2 linked regions of the Arabidopsis thaliana genome follow. The protein of the gene in region 1 interacts with the protein of each later gene in a pairwise test. Each region holds a gene or a part of one and is shown in the gene's direction. Other genes may lie near its edges.

Region 1 (9,618 bases):
GCTCTAGATCTGAGAAACCCAGAACCAGATCTGAAGAAACAGAGCATAAAGTTTCGATTTTTTTTTTGAGAGAGAAATGTTTCAGATCTCGAGTTTTATTAGTCATAAGCTTCGATGAGAAGATCGCTAGAAATGGGAAAGACAAAGTAAACAGTACAAAAAGAGGACGCAAATGATAATTTTCGAAAGAGAGAGAAAGAGACATAGATTGATGAGAGAGAAATCTCTTACATGGGTTTGGTCTAAACGGCTCTTTAAAGAATTTTTTGACCTCCTGGAGAGAGGAGAGAGAAACCTGAGAGAGATTGAGAAAGAGAAAGAAAGATAGAAGAGAGAGGAAAGAGAAGCTTAAAAAGATCTTCCCTGTTTTTTTTTTCTTCTTAGAAAATCCTAAAAATGACACTTTAATATAATATTTTTGGTGAAGAGATTATTTTTGGTTATTTGTAGGGTAAAGAGATTTGGGGGAAGAAGAAGAAGAAGACAAAAACAAAATCAAAGCCCACTTCTTCTCCTTATCCTTTACATTGTACTATTGATAAAATATACAGTATTTGTCATAGCATTGAGAAGGCAAGCTCAATACCACTTTTACTAATGAGATCTTAGTCTTTAACCCATAGCCACAACTAAGCTTGACCAATATCTAATCCTCAAGTAATGAAAACATCAATTACCTTTTGTTTTCATTGTCTGACGTATGAGCTAACAAGACGAAGATTAACCAAATATTATTATTTTAATTGGTAAATATTCTAGGCAAAGCTTAGAGGTCGCGTTACATGTTGTACTTTTGGGTCTTCGGAAATTACGGCTTTGGTTCAGAATGTTCTGGTATTCAAAAAAAAAAAAACAAGAAGAAGATTAAGCATGTAACTAATTAAGAAGATGTACAACATCCAAACAGAGAAATTCAACACTTGATCAAACATCCAAAGATTTCCAATAGCTGGATTCACACTAGATATGAAGATAGAGATTTATGTGTATGAATCTCCGGAAGAAGCTTTTTTTTGTTAAAGTCTCTGTTTCCATGCAACTTTTTGATTTCCATGGATAATGCTCAACAACTGGCCCATATGCGACTCATTTAAGAGATAAGAGACCCAAATACTTAATATCAAAATTACGTCCAGTGGACTCATATTCAAGGCCGGTAATCATTTCGGCCCATAACCACTTTTTTTTTGTTTCACCAACTTAATTTGATTTTAAATTGAGTAGCCAACATTATAATTACACACGTACATTTTGACTAAAAAAATTTTGTTGACTGAAGTTGTATTTTATCTTAATTCGATTTGAAAGATTGAGTACAATTATACACATTGTGTTTATTTTCTTGGCAACATTTTATAGAGTTTATGGATGTATGCGAAACTTGAGAATGAAGGCATGAGACCAAAATATCCGAATAAAATGAGTAATGATGTATTGAGAATGTTCTTTTCAGATAAATAACTAATTTTATGTTTATATATATGGTTTTTTATTATTAAAAACATTAATAATTGAAGATAAAAAGAAAAGATAAAGAGAGAATCAAAGGGAGGAGTTGGGGGAGATGATGGCATTTCTTTGCTTTGTAAATTTGGAGCATGTGACTTGATCCTTCTTTCCAACTCAAATCTCCTACTTATATTATTTTATTCATTCTCTTGAATTAACTTCTAATAGTTTACCATTGTTATTCGAATTTATCTTGATTATATAGTTAATATTTGTGAGATATATCCTAGGTAAATATACCTGAATGTCCAAAAACTAGGTCTAAAGAGCTCAATATTTTTATACATTAAACTTAGATTTCAACTTTTATGTATAACTTTTAACCTTGGATCAACCACTAGGCCATTGTCGATTTATTTTTGACTATTAAAAATCAGACTATTGTATTTCATTTAACATGTTTTTGTTTCTTTTTGAATTTTTGCATTCATTTAAGATGTTGTGGTCTCTCAAGTCCATATATAACGATTAGAAACTACAAATTTATAATTTTGTAGCTCCGAAATAAATATCATGCATTATGTATCAGCTAGAAAAGATCTAATCAGTGGTAATAATCGATAAGCAAAGGGTTAAGTAAGAGATGGGAGAGTAATCTCATCTTAGGAAATGATTACAAACACGATCTCATTTCTTTCCTTTATACAAAGCTGTCACCGTAGTAACTCGATCACATCTTCTCGTCTAATTTGTTCTGTTTTTCCTTTCGGTCCATTTAGAACCAATTTTTGACAACTGACAAAAAACATTATGAGGTATCTTTTGTTTCTTTTATCTGCAAATTAATTTATTATTCGGCAATAACAAAAATAAAAACAACTAGTAGCGAATAGCGATCAAGCTAAGGAAGGAATACATATGGCATTTACAATTGAAACAGAGAAAATGTGTTAAAGTAACAAAACTTATGATTGAGAAAATTTAAACCATAATTGAAACAGAGAAAATGTGTTAAAGTAACAAAACTTATGATTGAGAAAATTTAAACCATAATAATGATTAATTTTGGTAGTCTACATATGAGTTCCATCAAAAAAAAAAAAATGTTTTCATATAAGATTCATTTCATTCTTGATCCAGTAACATTCTTAGATCTGTTAATGAACCTTCTTAAGGAATGACTGAGAAGAAAGGCAATAGCCTAAAAGGAATCGACAGTGGAGAGTGGAGGGAAAAAGAGGTCACGTGAGTAAGACATAAGGTCACGTGCGCGAGGGATCGAATATGAATTTTACTAAAATAGGGTTTTATAAAAACATACTAATACTACTTTCACATTTACTCTTGGTTTGAATTATTTTTATACGCATGTATAATTTGATATATTTGTCTTTTTTCTTCCCCTAACTATGTATGGGCACTAGTACATCCATTATATAAGCCAAATAGAAAGAAAAAATAATAGTTTGTCTGCATTATTGTAAACTTACAGAATTTGGTATTTAATGCAATAATGCATTTTTATCCTTGGATTATTCACAAGAACCATATACCTTTTTTTTTCTCTCCTTGTTTCCAAGTGTAATTCGAAAAGAATCTTAACATGTATGTGGACCAACGTTGGAAACATGATGACATAACATTCATATATAGTTAACAATGACAATTTTTCTTAAATTGTCTATATATTATTGGATTGCTTTAACAATAATGAAACGCAAGATGTATTAGTGATGTATAATCACACTATTTATAGGACTTGAGAGTGACAGTCAAAAAGTTAATTAGAAGTAATGAAGTATCTTAACCTTATTATTTAATTGCTTCTTACATCATCTAAGAGTTAGCACCGTATCGATATTCATAAATTCTCTCCTAATTTGCAGATACAATACAACTATTGCTATTTTAAGCCTCTAACCTGCATAATATTTTGATGAAAGGCAAGCCTTACATGTGGACGTATGATCTCATATATTTTTTTTTTTCATTTGTTAGAAGAAACTCATGTAGATAATCTCAAACATAAAATAAAATGTTTCAAAAAAAAAAAAAAAAATAGTTTGTGAAGGTTCAAGAAAATCAGACAAATTCATCAATCAGACAAGATATGGGTCCAAGCCAAAAAATTCATATATCCAACATGCTCAAAGAAACAAAGTCTAAAAAATAAATACAAAATAACAAAAAGAAAAATCTAAAATCTACATCTAAATCTAAATAAATACACCACCTTCTCTCTCTCTCTCTCTAGCTACACGAGTGTATGTATACATTTTACGCAATGATGGCATAGTGCAATGAGCTTTATAAGTAGAAGCAATATAGACATCAAAGACCCCTTATTTGCTCTCAACTCTCAAGTGTATGAGAGAGAAATAGGTTTTTGAAGAAGAGTCAAAATATATACCCAAAGAGAGAGCTAGAGAGAGAGAGACTCAAGAAAATTAAAAAGCTTTCATCATATTAACATAAGAGAAACTTTGAAGAGCCTAAGAAAAAGTTTTGAAAAGCCTTTGTTGCAGAAAGCTTAAAAGAACTTTTTCTCTCCCCCTATATCTCTCTTTATCACCCTTCCTCTTCTTTGTAAAGCTGAATCTCCCACTATCTCTTCTTCTTTCATTTTTTTTTTTTTTTGGTCTTTGGGCCTTGTTCTTTCATCAAATCAATCTCTAGAATCCAAATACAATAAAGTCAAAAAGAAAGATCAAGAAAAGTAGAGTAATTGATGAGAACAGATCAAGTGATGTTGTCCAACAAGAACACAAACACATGTTGTGTGGTTTCTTCTTCTTCTTCTGATCCTTTCCTCTCCTCTTCAGAAAATGGGGTCACCACCACAAACACATCCACTCAGAAGAGGAAAAGAAGACCTGCAGGTACCCCAGGTAATAATAAATCCCCACTACAGAAAATTTATTTTTCAAAATCTTTTTTTCTTGTTTTTATTTTCTTATGAAAATTTTCAACTCATGGGTACTATTGTTTTTTGTTTTTTTTTTCTCTTAAACCCCATTAGAAATACAGGTTTATTATAGGTTTAGTTTTAAAATTTCTCTTTTTCTTATTGCCAGTTTCAAAGTTATAGGTACAATTAATGGGTTTTCATTGTTTTTAATTCTTAAACCTCATTTAAAATCTCAACTTTATTAATCAACTAAGACATGTGTTTTGATGGGTTTTGCCTTATCTCCTTTTCAGATCCAGATGCAGAAGTTGTGTCTTTATCACCAAGAACTCTTCTTGAATCAGACAGATACATATGTGAGATCTGTAACCAAGGGTTTCAAAGAGACCAGAATCTCCAGATGCATAGAAGACGTCACAAAGTTCCATGGAAGCTTCTTAAAAGAGACAACAACATAGAGGTGAAGAAACGAGTCTATGTTTGCCCTGAACCCACTTGCCTTCACCATAATCCTTGTCATGCTCTGGGAGATCTTGTCGGCATCAAAAAACATTTCAGAAGAAAACATAGTAACCATAAGCAATGGGTTTGTGAGAGATGCTCTAAAGGTTATGCTGTTCAATCTGATTACAAAGCTCATCTCAAAACTTGTGGTACTAGAGGACATTCTTGTGACTGTGGTCGTGTCTTCTCCAGGTATAATTTCTTGTTCCTCTCTATCATTTGATTTTTTTTTGACCCATTTTATAAATTAATTATTGGTATTATTAATTCTGAAAAGATATGCAAACTTTTGGAAGGATTTGTTAAGTATTTCTAAAATATACAAGTAATTTGACTCTGTTTGTTTTGTATATTTAGGAGATCATATAGAAAGACAAATATAGAAAATTCTTCTAGGGACCAAAGACTAAGATTGATAGTTATAGTACTATTTGATTTGACTATCCTTCATGATTTTTACTAATTCTGTGTATTGATGTGTATGCATCAGAGTTTTTTAATATATCTCTTGACTATTTGTTTGGTTTTTGTGACATAAAAAGAAAGTTAAGCACTTAGATTAATGACATTGACCCCAATCTCTAAAGAAATATTTTATGTATTTAGGTTATTATTGGACCTTTTTTCGACACAAAGGTTATAATTGGACCTAAACTCATATTAATAATATATATTTTTGAGTTCAAAGGTATTTAATAAACGACGTTTAAACAGAAAAACTTAATATAAAATTATTAACTTTGTCACATTTTCATAATCCTACGTCATATAAATTATGTAATTGATAGGTTTCTTTTCTTCTTTTAGGGTGGAGAGTTTTATTGAACATCAAGATAATTGTTCCGCACGGAGAGTTCACCGTGAACCGCCTCGACCACCACAAACCGCGGTAACAGTCCCGGCATGCTCTTCTAGAACCGCCTCAACCGTCAGCACTCCGTCTAGTGAAACCAATTACGGCGGTACAGTTGCGGTTACGACTCCTCAACCTCTAGAAGGCCGTCCAATTCATCAGAGAATCTCATCTTCAATTCTCACCAACTCATCAAACAATCTCAACCTCGAACTCCAACTTCTTCCATTATCGTCGAATCAAAACCCTAATCAAGAAAACCAACAACAAAAAGTTAAAGAACCATCTCATCATCATAATCATAATCATGATACCACAAACTTAAACCTCTCCATTGCACCATCATCATCATATCAACATTACAACAACTTTGATCGTATAAAAGAGATTATGGCGAGCGAGCAAATTATGAAGATAGCGATGAAGGAGAAAGCTTACGCTGAGGAAGCTAAAAGAGAAGCCAAGAGGCAACGAGAGATAGCGGAAAACGAGTTTGCAAATGCCAAAAAGATTAGGCAAAAAGCACAAGCTGAACTCGAGAGAGCTAAGTTTTTAAAGGAACAATCTATGAAGAAGATAAGTTCAACGATCATGCAGGTCACTTGTCAAACATGTAAAGGACAGTTTCAAGCAGTTGCGGTTCCGGCGGCTACGGCTGATGAGACGTCTCTTGTCGTGAGTTACATGTCGTCAGCGAATACTGACGGAGAGTTGGAAAATGGTTTTTAAGTAAAACCGAAGAAAACATAAGATATTTAAATTGAGGTTAACTTTATTATACTTTTGTGTATTAATTACCGGTTGTGTTAATTTTTTCAACTACCATATATTATGTAATGGTTGTTATATAGTTGTTTCTTTGGTCCAACAATATTAGACTATGTTTTGTAACTATGTTACTGTCATTTCCGCCACATTACACTTTAAATTGTTGAAAAATGATTTTATCCTAGGTTTCATATAGAACCTTAAAATTAAATTTTATCAACAAAAAAAAAACCTTGAAATTAACTATTTAAATTTTTATATAGATATTTTTTCGTCTTGAACGTCTACAGTAGTTTAGAAGGAGTTAAGAGTGGAGATCCGTACATGCGTGTTTTGATCTTTGGCCTTAGATTCGCTTAGAACTTTCAATGGATATACAATTTTTTTAATAAAACATGTGATATGCGGATTTGAATTCGGTTAAATATACATTTGCTTATCCTTGATTTGTCTACATTATTTTTGGTAAGCTTGAGGTGATATATTTGAAAACAAATCTCACGTTTTAAGGATCAAAACAGTCCCTGCATGATAGAGATTATCGACATCTAATGTATACCAGTATATTTAGTAAGTTTGAAAGAGGGTAAGTAGTTGCTTGGCACGAGTTGATATATGGAGTGATGGGAAATGTACTATTATGATGTCGTTTTGGTCCGTGACCGTTACACTTATAACGAGGTTCATAAACAAACATCGTTTCATCTTTCGTTAGATTCGGACAAAAAGTGTTGATCTATAATGATGATAAAACAGCCCGACCCATTTTCACTTGTTGTTATTACAACTTTTAGCAAATTTTCTAGCTACTCATTTATTGTCTCGAAATAAATTTTTACAGAGACTTCTGATTTTATTTTAAGTAAAATTTTACAAGAAAATGCATGTCAAATAATTCTACTGTTCACACATATGACCAATACTCAGAGTAGTCCATATCAAATTTTATATAGAACTGGTCGTTGGATTCTAAGTAATTAAGTATTTAGTCTAGTTGACCTTAAAAATAGATAGTTAAAAACACCTAATATTCATGAGAGATAAATAAATAGCCACTCATCAAATTGTTGTGCATTATTCATGTGTGTTTAGTATAAAATTTGAAACCCAAGACTACACTGCGTTAAGAAGATAACTCCATCTGAAAACTTTGTGGTGATAAATAAAATTTGGTGTGCAAGTCATACAAAGATAATACATGTTTAAGCCACATGATTCATATAATATACCCATTTGAGATTTCTTAATTAATACATAATGGTGATTATTCATGTTTCTAGCCAAACATTTTTTAGATGAATTTTTTTCTTATAAAAAAAAACCCAAATATTTTTAGATTGGACAGGTCTATGATGTGTGAACATACATAATAAATGAATGTCGATACATGAAAGAGAAAGAGTTTGATTGGGGCAAGTATATAGATACATACATATACGCATATATAGCAAAGAAAATATAAAATAACAAAAATAAGACGATCTTTTGCGTATGAGATTGAAGAAGCTATACACTACAAAAATCTAAAATCCGAGGTGGGTTTGGTTTTTGTACATCTTTTGGGACCAATTTCGATGCAGAAATTAGGAGGATATAAAGACTTTAATAACGAGGACTTGAAGAAATGACATGAATGTCTGTCTGAGAGAACTAAAGAAGTGGGTTAAGTAAATAAGAGAGTGACAAATGCCTGCCCGTTACTCCGTTTCAACTCTATGGCACTGAAAACGATGACGTTTTTTTCCCGTCGCATTTAATGTGCACTCAATTGCATTGAAAGTGACTATTTATCTCTCTCTCTCGTTTTCATCATTTGTGCTAACACGCAGAGAGGTTTGCAGATTCTGCAGCTATGTTTGTCACATAAAGAGAGGTGGAGAGAGAGAGAAAGAGATAGCATATTAGGCTTTCTCTATACCAATGGCCAAACACATGTGTGTGTAATATAATGCATGTAGAATATGTTTGATGATGGTTTATGTCACAAACTCGTGAACGTAAAACAATGTACGTAATAATGTCTAACCATGTGTACATAAAATGATGGAATTCATGTAATAATGTTATAATGTATAAAAACGATTCGTTATGTCGCTATATGCATGCAATTAGCGTACTTTGAGATTATCAATTGTAATTGCTTCAAACCAAAAGAAATAGATTAATAATTATATGGCTCGGATCATCTATAATACATAGTTAGGTTAGGGAGTTGTAACGAATTAAAATATAGAAAAGGAAGAACAATGGAACGTGCAACACAAAAAAAGGTTTTAGCTTTTTATCTCTTAGCATTTTTTTTAAGAAGAGCATGTGCATACTTGCTTCTCTTCCCCCAAACTTTCAAATGCTCATGCCTTTCTCAACCCAAATGAATTGTTCCTTCTTCTCTTATCTTATTTATTTGCATGTGTTATATGATCAAAAATACCAAAGAATTCACTACAAAAACAAACCTTTTTCATCTAAATAAAGTAACTACATTATCAATTAGAAGTTTCATGGAAAAAAAAATCATTTTTAAGCCAGAGATCTTTGTTTGTCAACAATATTGAAAAAGAAACAATATTTAATAATAATGTACTTAGTTGTTGGATTTGGAATTGGCTTAGCATGAAAATCTCTCATCACATGCGATTGCCTCATACTTCCCACAAAGGAACAACCATATGCTTAACTTCTATGTCATGACAAAAATACCCCTCACTTCTTTGATGGGATGTATGAGTCGACACCCTTTACTCAATGGGTATTTCCGTCTTCTCTGATTTGTTTACTACTACCATATTCTATATTGATTATTTTTTTATTTTTTTATAAAGAGATCCAAACATTTTCGTTTTGCTTAGCTTCATCTTATATACAATCTCTTATTAAATCAAGATTTTTTTCTGTATTATTGTTTTATTTCCGAATTAGAATTGAACGTTTTATATCAATTTTGTTCAACAAATATTTGTTTTAATTACAAATAAATTTCAAAAACTATGCACATATAACATAAACGTTGTGTATTTGCTGGCTTCTATACTTTATTTAATTATTATTGATGAATATCAGCTGAGGTTTGTCTTTATTTGCTTAAATATGTGTAAGATAAAATATTAAATCTCCCTCTATTATATGGATGGACCCT
Region 2 (6,346 bases), on another chromosome or scaffold:
ATACACACAAGTTTTGTATCCTGACACTTTTTCTTGTGGGCCAAAAGGTCCCATAAATAATGCAAACTTCACTAATTCACGAGATCGTGTCTCCATATGAAGGAATTATACAAGTATTCAGATCTTGTTACAGTGTAAAATATTGAAAAAGGTGAAAGTGTTGCACTAAAAATCAGCCGTTGATGATTGATGAAGGAGCTTAGTATGGAGGATCTAGAGTGAACCATGCAAACATATACATATTTTTGATTATTTTATTAGATTTGTACGTATTGTATATAAATTTGGAAATTATGCATAATATGCATAGTATTCTTTTCCGTGGAGAAACATATAGATTTCTCACCTGAGCTTATATGAAAGTAACCACTATTTTTCTCATCACAAATCTCGCAACACTTCTTAATATGCTAGTAAAACTATAATGATCTAACGATTGGTACTGTTTTATTCTTTTTAAATTTTAAACCAACTGCTATTTTTAATACTCAAACATTCACTTTCTTAAAAACCAAGTGCTTCTAATTACTCTTAAAACCTAAATTATACATTTGAATCTAGGTTATCACTTCTCTTGTTAAATCAACAATGCTATGCGGTTAAATTTTGTCATGAATTTTTGATTTAAATAATAGAACGAGGTGATCAACATTTTCATCTGTTACCGGCTTCGTCTATATGAGGAGGCCAAGTGAAAGAAGTTATAATAACTAGGTAGGTCGCATGGTAAGTTTCCCATGAAGTCTTCAACGTCTTTTGTCCACTTGATTGTGCGCTAAATACTGTGTGAACATTCATTCATTATCTTAAGAACCCAAATGCTTTTAATTACTATTTAAACATAATTTGTACATTTGAATATAGGTTATCGAGTTTCTCTTGTTGAGCCAACAATGCAACATCTTTATTTCTGCCATTTTCAATTTAAAGAAAATGAATAAAATAAAATTAAGTATTTTGTTATTATATGCTTAGTCTTGTTAATGTAATTATAAGGAAGATAATGTTCCTTAATAGACTAGATGTGATTCATGAGAACCATGCACAAGAATTCAAAAACCCTAGAAGATTCGATGGTAAATGACGGATCAATTAGCAAAATATTCATGTACATTTACTATAACGCTATTGTATCTCTAGGATTATCGGGTTCTTGTAATGGATGATACACCACAAACCTTTTCTATATTTGTAATGCATTATGATTGACAAAAAAATAGTGTTCCTTGATTTTTTTTCTTTTTTTTGTGTGTGCATCAAGTGTTACTTGTTAATTCATTATTCATTTCATTATGTTTCTCATACACTCTAGCCATCTCTGTTTTTTTCACCAACTAATCATACAATTTTATAAATTTGGCGATTTTTTTAAAAAATAAAGACTCTATAGTCTATTTTTGATAATTGTATGTAACATTATGTACTATGAAAATATCATGCAATTGTGAAGATGACAAGGTTGTCATATCTTCTTATGAGGTAAGAAATTATTTCTTAGAGTATATGATCATTTGCTATTAGTTGTATTTTCTATCCTTCTATAGATATGTGAACTTCATTCTCTAGTTGAGTATGTATCAGAGTTACTTTTACCTTCCAGTACTAATGAATCTGGAAGCTCACACAGAATAAAAGTTCTTGCGTAGAGAAATACAAAATCTTAGTGCTTAGATGAACATTTGACCAGTGAGGTGAAGCAGACCACTATGGTTGAGATCATCTACTAGCAACCAGACCATCCAAAATCTCTTTTCTTCTAACCAAGAGACCAAGTCAGTGTCCCATCAAATTTGTTTTTTAATTTTTATTTTGGTTAAATATCAAATCCTTTATAACCAATTTCTCTTTTCTTCTCCATCCAATAAGTCTTTTCTATTTGGAATCTCATGTAAATCAAAGTGCTTTACAACTTTTTGGCAAACATTTTATCTTTAACACTAGACCAAAAACTTCCTCATTAATTAACTAAACTATATATATTATTGGCAATAGAGCATCCTGCTTTCGTAGGAATCCCCTTACCAAAAAAATCACCGAAGATACTTTTGGACTATATATTTGTCAAATCAATAAATAAAAATAAATAAAAGATTAAGAAATAAATGCTCAAAGCCTCAAAGTAAAGACAAAAGACAAAAAATTGGTGAAAGCAACATAGTTGGCATTGGAGTGAGCGAACGTAACCACTCATAACGCGTTTGAAAGAGATTGTTGTCAAAGACTTGAGAAACTTCGTAACGGTTTTATGATCACTCATTGACTCTCTCTCTCCGTTACACTTATGTTCTCGACGCGACCTTCCAACCATAAAATACTAATTTCATTTTTATTTTCACTTCATCGATATCTTGTGACATGTAATATGATTGGCTTATCAAAAATCTTTCATACGAATTTTCAAGTTTGTTCACATCTCTCTCCCAAGATATCCGTTTAGGAGCCTAGGACCGTTACTTCACTTTATTATTTTCATGTGGAGGAACTGTAATATATATCACAATTTTGTTGTTCTTGTTGATTGTGTAAATAGTAGTACTGGATACTAAAGAACAATGAGTATGTATCTCAAATATTTAGCTCAACCGTTTTATAAAAATACTATATTATTACCTTAAAATTGTTTGTTGCTTTATCAGTATTAGGTAATTATGAGATGTCACTGTTTAATCTATTTAAACGTTTTATGAGTTACATTAATGAAAAAAATCTGAAAAGTTAAAATTATACGAATACATACCTGTCTGACTCTACCTACTGAATTTTGTAAAACAATTTGTTATATTTTATAAGAAAGTTGATGTTGTAGTGTTTACTGTCTCATAAAAAACAATCTCTATTTATTTGATTTGAGACTTGAAATTTTTAAAGCTTGTTTTAAACTATACTGTTTTTCTTATAAAAAAATTGTATTAATTTTTTTTATAAATGAAACTGTTAAAAAAAATTGAAAATTTAGAGATCAAAACTAAACCTTTATAATCATTGAAATATATTGGTACATCTACCCACAAAACAGGTCAATCGTCTAGGTTTAATTATAATTAAGCCTAACATGTTAATGAGATTCAAACGAAATTAAAGTCCACAATGCCAACTCAACTCAAGTATCAAATCTTTTTCTTCTTTTTTTACTTAGCAGGAATACCAAACTCAAGTATCAAATCTTTTAAAATTTATTTTTTACTTATGTCAATGTGGGAATGACCGAGTTACTTAAGAGTTATGATTAATATTAATTCTTGTTTCTAACCAATTCATATATCATTGTCTTGGAAGCTTCTTCATATCAATGACTCAACTCTTAATTTTTTTCGAAAATCTGTTCTTACAAGGTCACACAATTCAATTTTTTTTTTGTATTGTAAATGTTTATCTCGTTATATTTACACTAACGAGATTTAAACACCTAAAATCAAATTGTACGAGACTAGTGTTAGTTATTCAATAGTATGATGCATTGATGCAACAAAATTCGTTGCGATTATTTATGATCCTTATCACTACCATGATCATTTCCATTAAGGTTATACTTACTTCCTTTTTGATGCATAATAATTACTCACCAACATTGAAGCGTGGTCGACATTTTCATTGGCAATAAGCATAACATTCATTTATTTATATTAAAACACAGAAACAAACAATTATTAAATAAAGAGTTCTGGCATTTCTCTATTTTAGTCCACTTAATTTAATACTATCATCTTCAAACAAGATTTCATCATTAATAATTTAAAAAATTATACGTTACATAGTGTATTAAATGAATTATCGTTGGGATACACTTTCACATTTTTCAAAAACGTATGAATCATAATGTGACACATGGAGATTTCCCACAACCGAGGCTCCCATAGTAGATGCTTATGCAATTCATATTCTTGCAGCTTAAACTCTTGCAAGTTCAGTAATAACACCGTGATATGAAAAATAAAACTTAGCCCTTTTTAATTTTTGAACTTATTCAGATTAATTAAAAGCATACGTAGCATATTTAAGAATATAAAGCAGAGAATCAAAATAACATATTGTTTCAATGGCACCCATTTTAGCTAGTCGATCAGTAACTGCATTCGCAGATCTTCGAACCCACCAAAAATCGACAGCTTCAAATCCTTTGAGCCAATATGACGCTAAAGGTCAAAATATTATGACCCTAAATGTCAGAAATTGACCCCATAAGTCATAAGTTAACCGACACCAAAGCTGATATTCGTTAGAGTTTAGACTCTCCTTTTCTTAATGATCGTTAGTTTTAGTTGGGAACTCTTGGGCTATCGGTTAAAATTAAATAATTGTGGTCCTCTTGGCCCATTAGTGCTGTCCAAACTGGCCCAATATGACCCAGTGGATGGTCCCAACAAACGCCGCGACAAAACTCCGTCGCTGGCTGAGGCAATGTTCACCGGTGGTGGTAGCTTTTCTTCTACTCCGACCCGGCTGAAAATGCAAATCCCTAACCCTAGACACGGCCATGGTTTATAAACCTCATCAATTTCTTCTACTTATCTCTTCTCAAAGCTAAACCCTCCAAGATATTCCTCTATTAGGTGCAAAAATCAGGTAAATCTCTATCTGTCCGATTTGAAACCCTAGATCTGCCTTTCTTCTCTCTTCTTTTGCTTTTCTGGGTTTTGCTCAAAGATGGGTGACAGCGAAGATGAAACAGGATACCCAAAAAAGTTTTACTCTTTGAATCGGCAAAACCATCCAATGTATAGTAGACCAATACCTAAGCGTCACGCGTATTACAATGAAGAAGAAGACGAAGATGAAGTCGAAGGAGAAGAGGAAGATCCACAAGGAGGATACATTCGTGGAAATGAGAGGTTTCAGAAGAGACAGAAACCAAACAAAGTAGTTTCTGGGTTTGAATTTGCTGGTCCTAGTGATGCTAAAGTTGCGTATGATTGGAGAGAGCAAGAAGCTTTTGTGTTGCTTGAAGTTTGGGGAGATAGGTTTTTGCAATTGGGTAGAAGGAGTTTGAGGAACGAGGATTGGAATGAAGTAGCTGAGAAAGTGAGTGAGGAGCTAAGGATGGAGAAATCTGAGACGCAATGTAGGAGAATGATTGATGACTTGAAGAGGAAGTATAGAAAAGAGAAGATTAAGGTTGAGAAATCAGGTTTAGGTTCAAGTAAATGGTCGTTTTTCAATAAGTTGGATATGTTGCTTTGTGTTTCGCCCAAGTCGGATTTAGGTTTAGCTTGTGGTGTTGATTCAGGTGAGTTTGTGTTTATGAACACTAAGGTTTATTTAGATAAGTCTAATGGGTTTGATGAGATGATGGATAGTCCTGGTGATTCTGAAGAGGAGGAGGATGAGGATGATGAGGTTGAGTACGAGAGGAAGAAGGTTAATGACGCTGCTTCGTATAAGATGTTGGCGGATTCTGTTGAGAGGTTTGGGAAGGTTTATGAGAAGATGGAGAAGAGTAAGAAAGAGCAAATGAAGGAGTTGGAGAAGATGAGAGCTGATTTTCAGAGAGATTTGGAGTTGCAGAAGAAGCAGATTGTTGATAGAGCTCAGAGTGAGATTGCTAGGTTACGTGAAGAGGAGGAGAATCATCATGGTGGTGGTGATGATGATGAGAGTGAAGATGAAGAAATGGAGAATGATTCTGATGTTAATCTCAGTGATGAGTAAGTTATAAACTATGTAGGTTTGTGTTGTTTGTAGATGCAACAAAATATGTTCTGTTTTTTTTTTTGGTTTTAGGGAATTCAGAACTTAAGTCTTATAAGTTTTGTAATTTGTGTTTGGTCTTTGCAACTTTAGTCGAGGTTATTTGCAGTTTATCTTGAAACTTAAATTAATGCATAAACATATTTCCTTCTTAATATACTGTTTGTGAGTATTTCTCTTGACCAATCTCATGAACATACATATATTATATACCATAGCTAAACCGACAGATACATATATAATCTTGTTATAATCGAGGAAACAATTTTTTGATATATAAGCATTTTTTAAGAGGAATAAACATCAGAGAAGCAAAAGACTTAACGAGCTTCAGATAGTGTTATGTCATAGCCATTTATTTGGGAACACAGTAAGAGGATTTGATCTCATGCCATAAGCAAAACAAAGTGTCGTAGTCATCTTCGCCAATGGGGGCATTGTTGTGGGCGACTCGAGAAATACCCACCAATGACTTGAGCCAGTCTTCATGCAGACTTGAGAACTCAGATCTTAGCTCACTTGACTTGAAGTTTTCCCCAATTGATCTCTTCATGGCTTGAGCAGCACCTGATGCTGTTTCAACCACTTGGTTTGGTATTCCAGCCATGAGTGCCACTTGAAGTCCGTAGCTCTCAGGACAAGCTCCCTCGGTTAAACGGTA

The links.
Region 2: the proteins of SGR5 (region 1) and AT3G24490 interact in a two-hybrid assay, tested with the Arabidopsis thaliana proteins (one large-scale study listed by BioGRID).

Annotation. Positions count from the first base shown.
Region 1 is NC_003071.7:428,475-438,092, forward strand, and holds SGR5 (C2H2-like zinc finger protein), read left to right. Parts: upstream 1-3,800; 5' UTR 3,801-4,177; coding exon 4,178-4,337; intron 4,338-4,372; exon of another isoform or gene 4,373-4,537; intron 4,538-4,650; coding exon 4,651-5,037; coding exon of another isoform or gene 5,038-5,053; intron 5,054-5,649; coding exon 5,650-6,443; 3' UTR 6,444-6,603; downstream 6,604-9,618. UniProt on the Arabidopsis thaliana protein: Transcription factor involved in inflorescence stems gravitropism, probably by regulating starch accumulation in amyloplasts of graviperceptive cells. Required for stem circumnutation movements. Regulates lateral organ morphogenesis and gravitropic responses.
Region 2 is NC_003074.8:8,906,378-8,912,723, forward strand, and holds AT3G24490 (Alcohol dehydrogenase transcription factor Myb/SANT-like family protein), read left to right. Parts: upstream 1-4,044; 5' UTR 4,045-4,644; coding exon 4,645-5,646; 3' UTR 5,647-5,846; downstream 5,847-6,346. Other genes in the region: MSH7 (MUTS homolog 7), read right to left, coding at 6,041-6,346.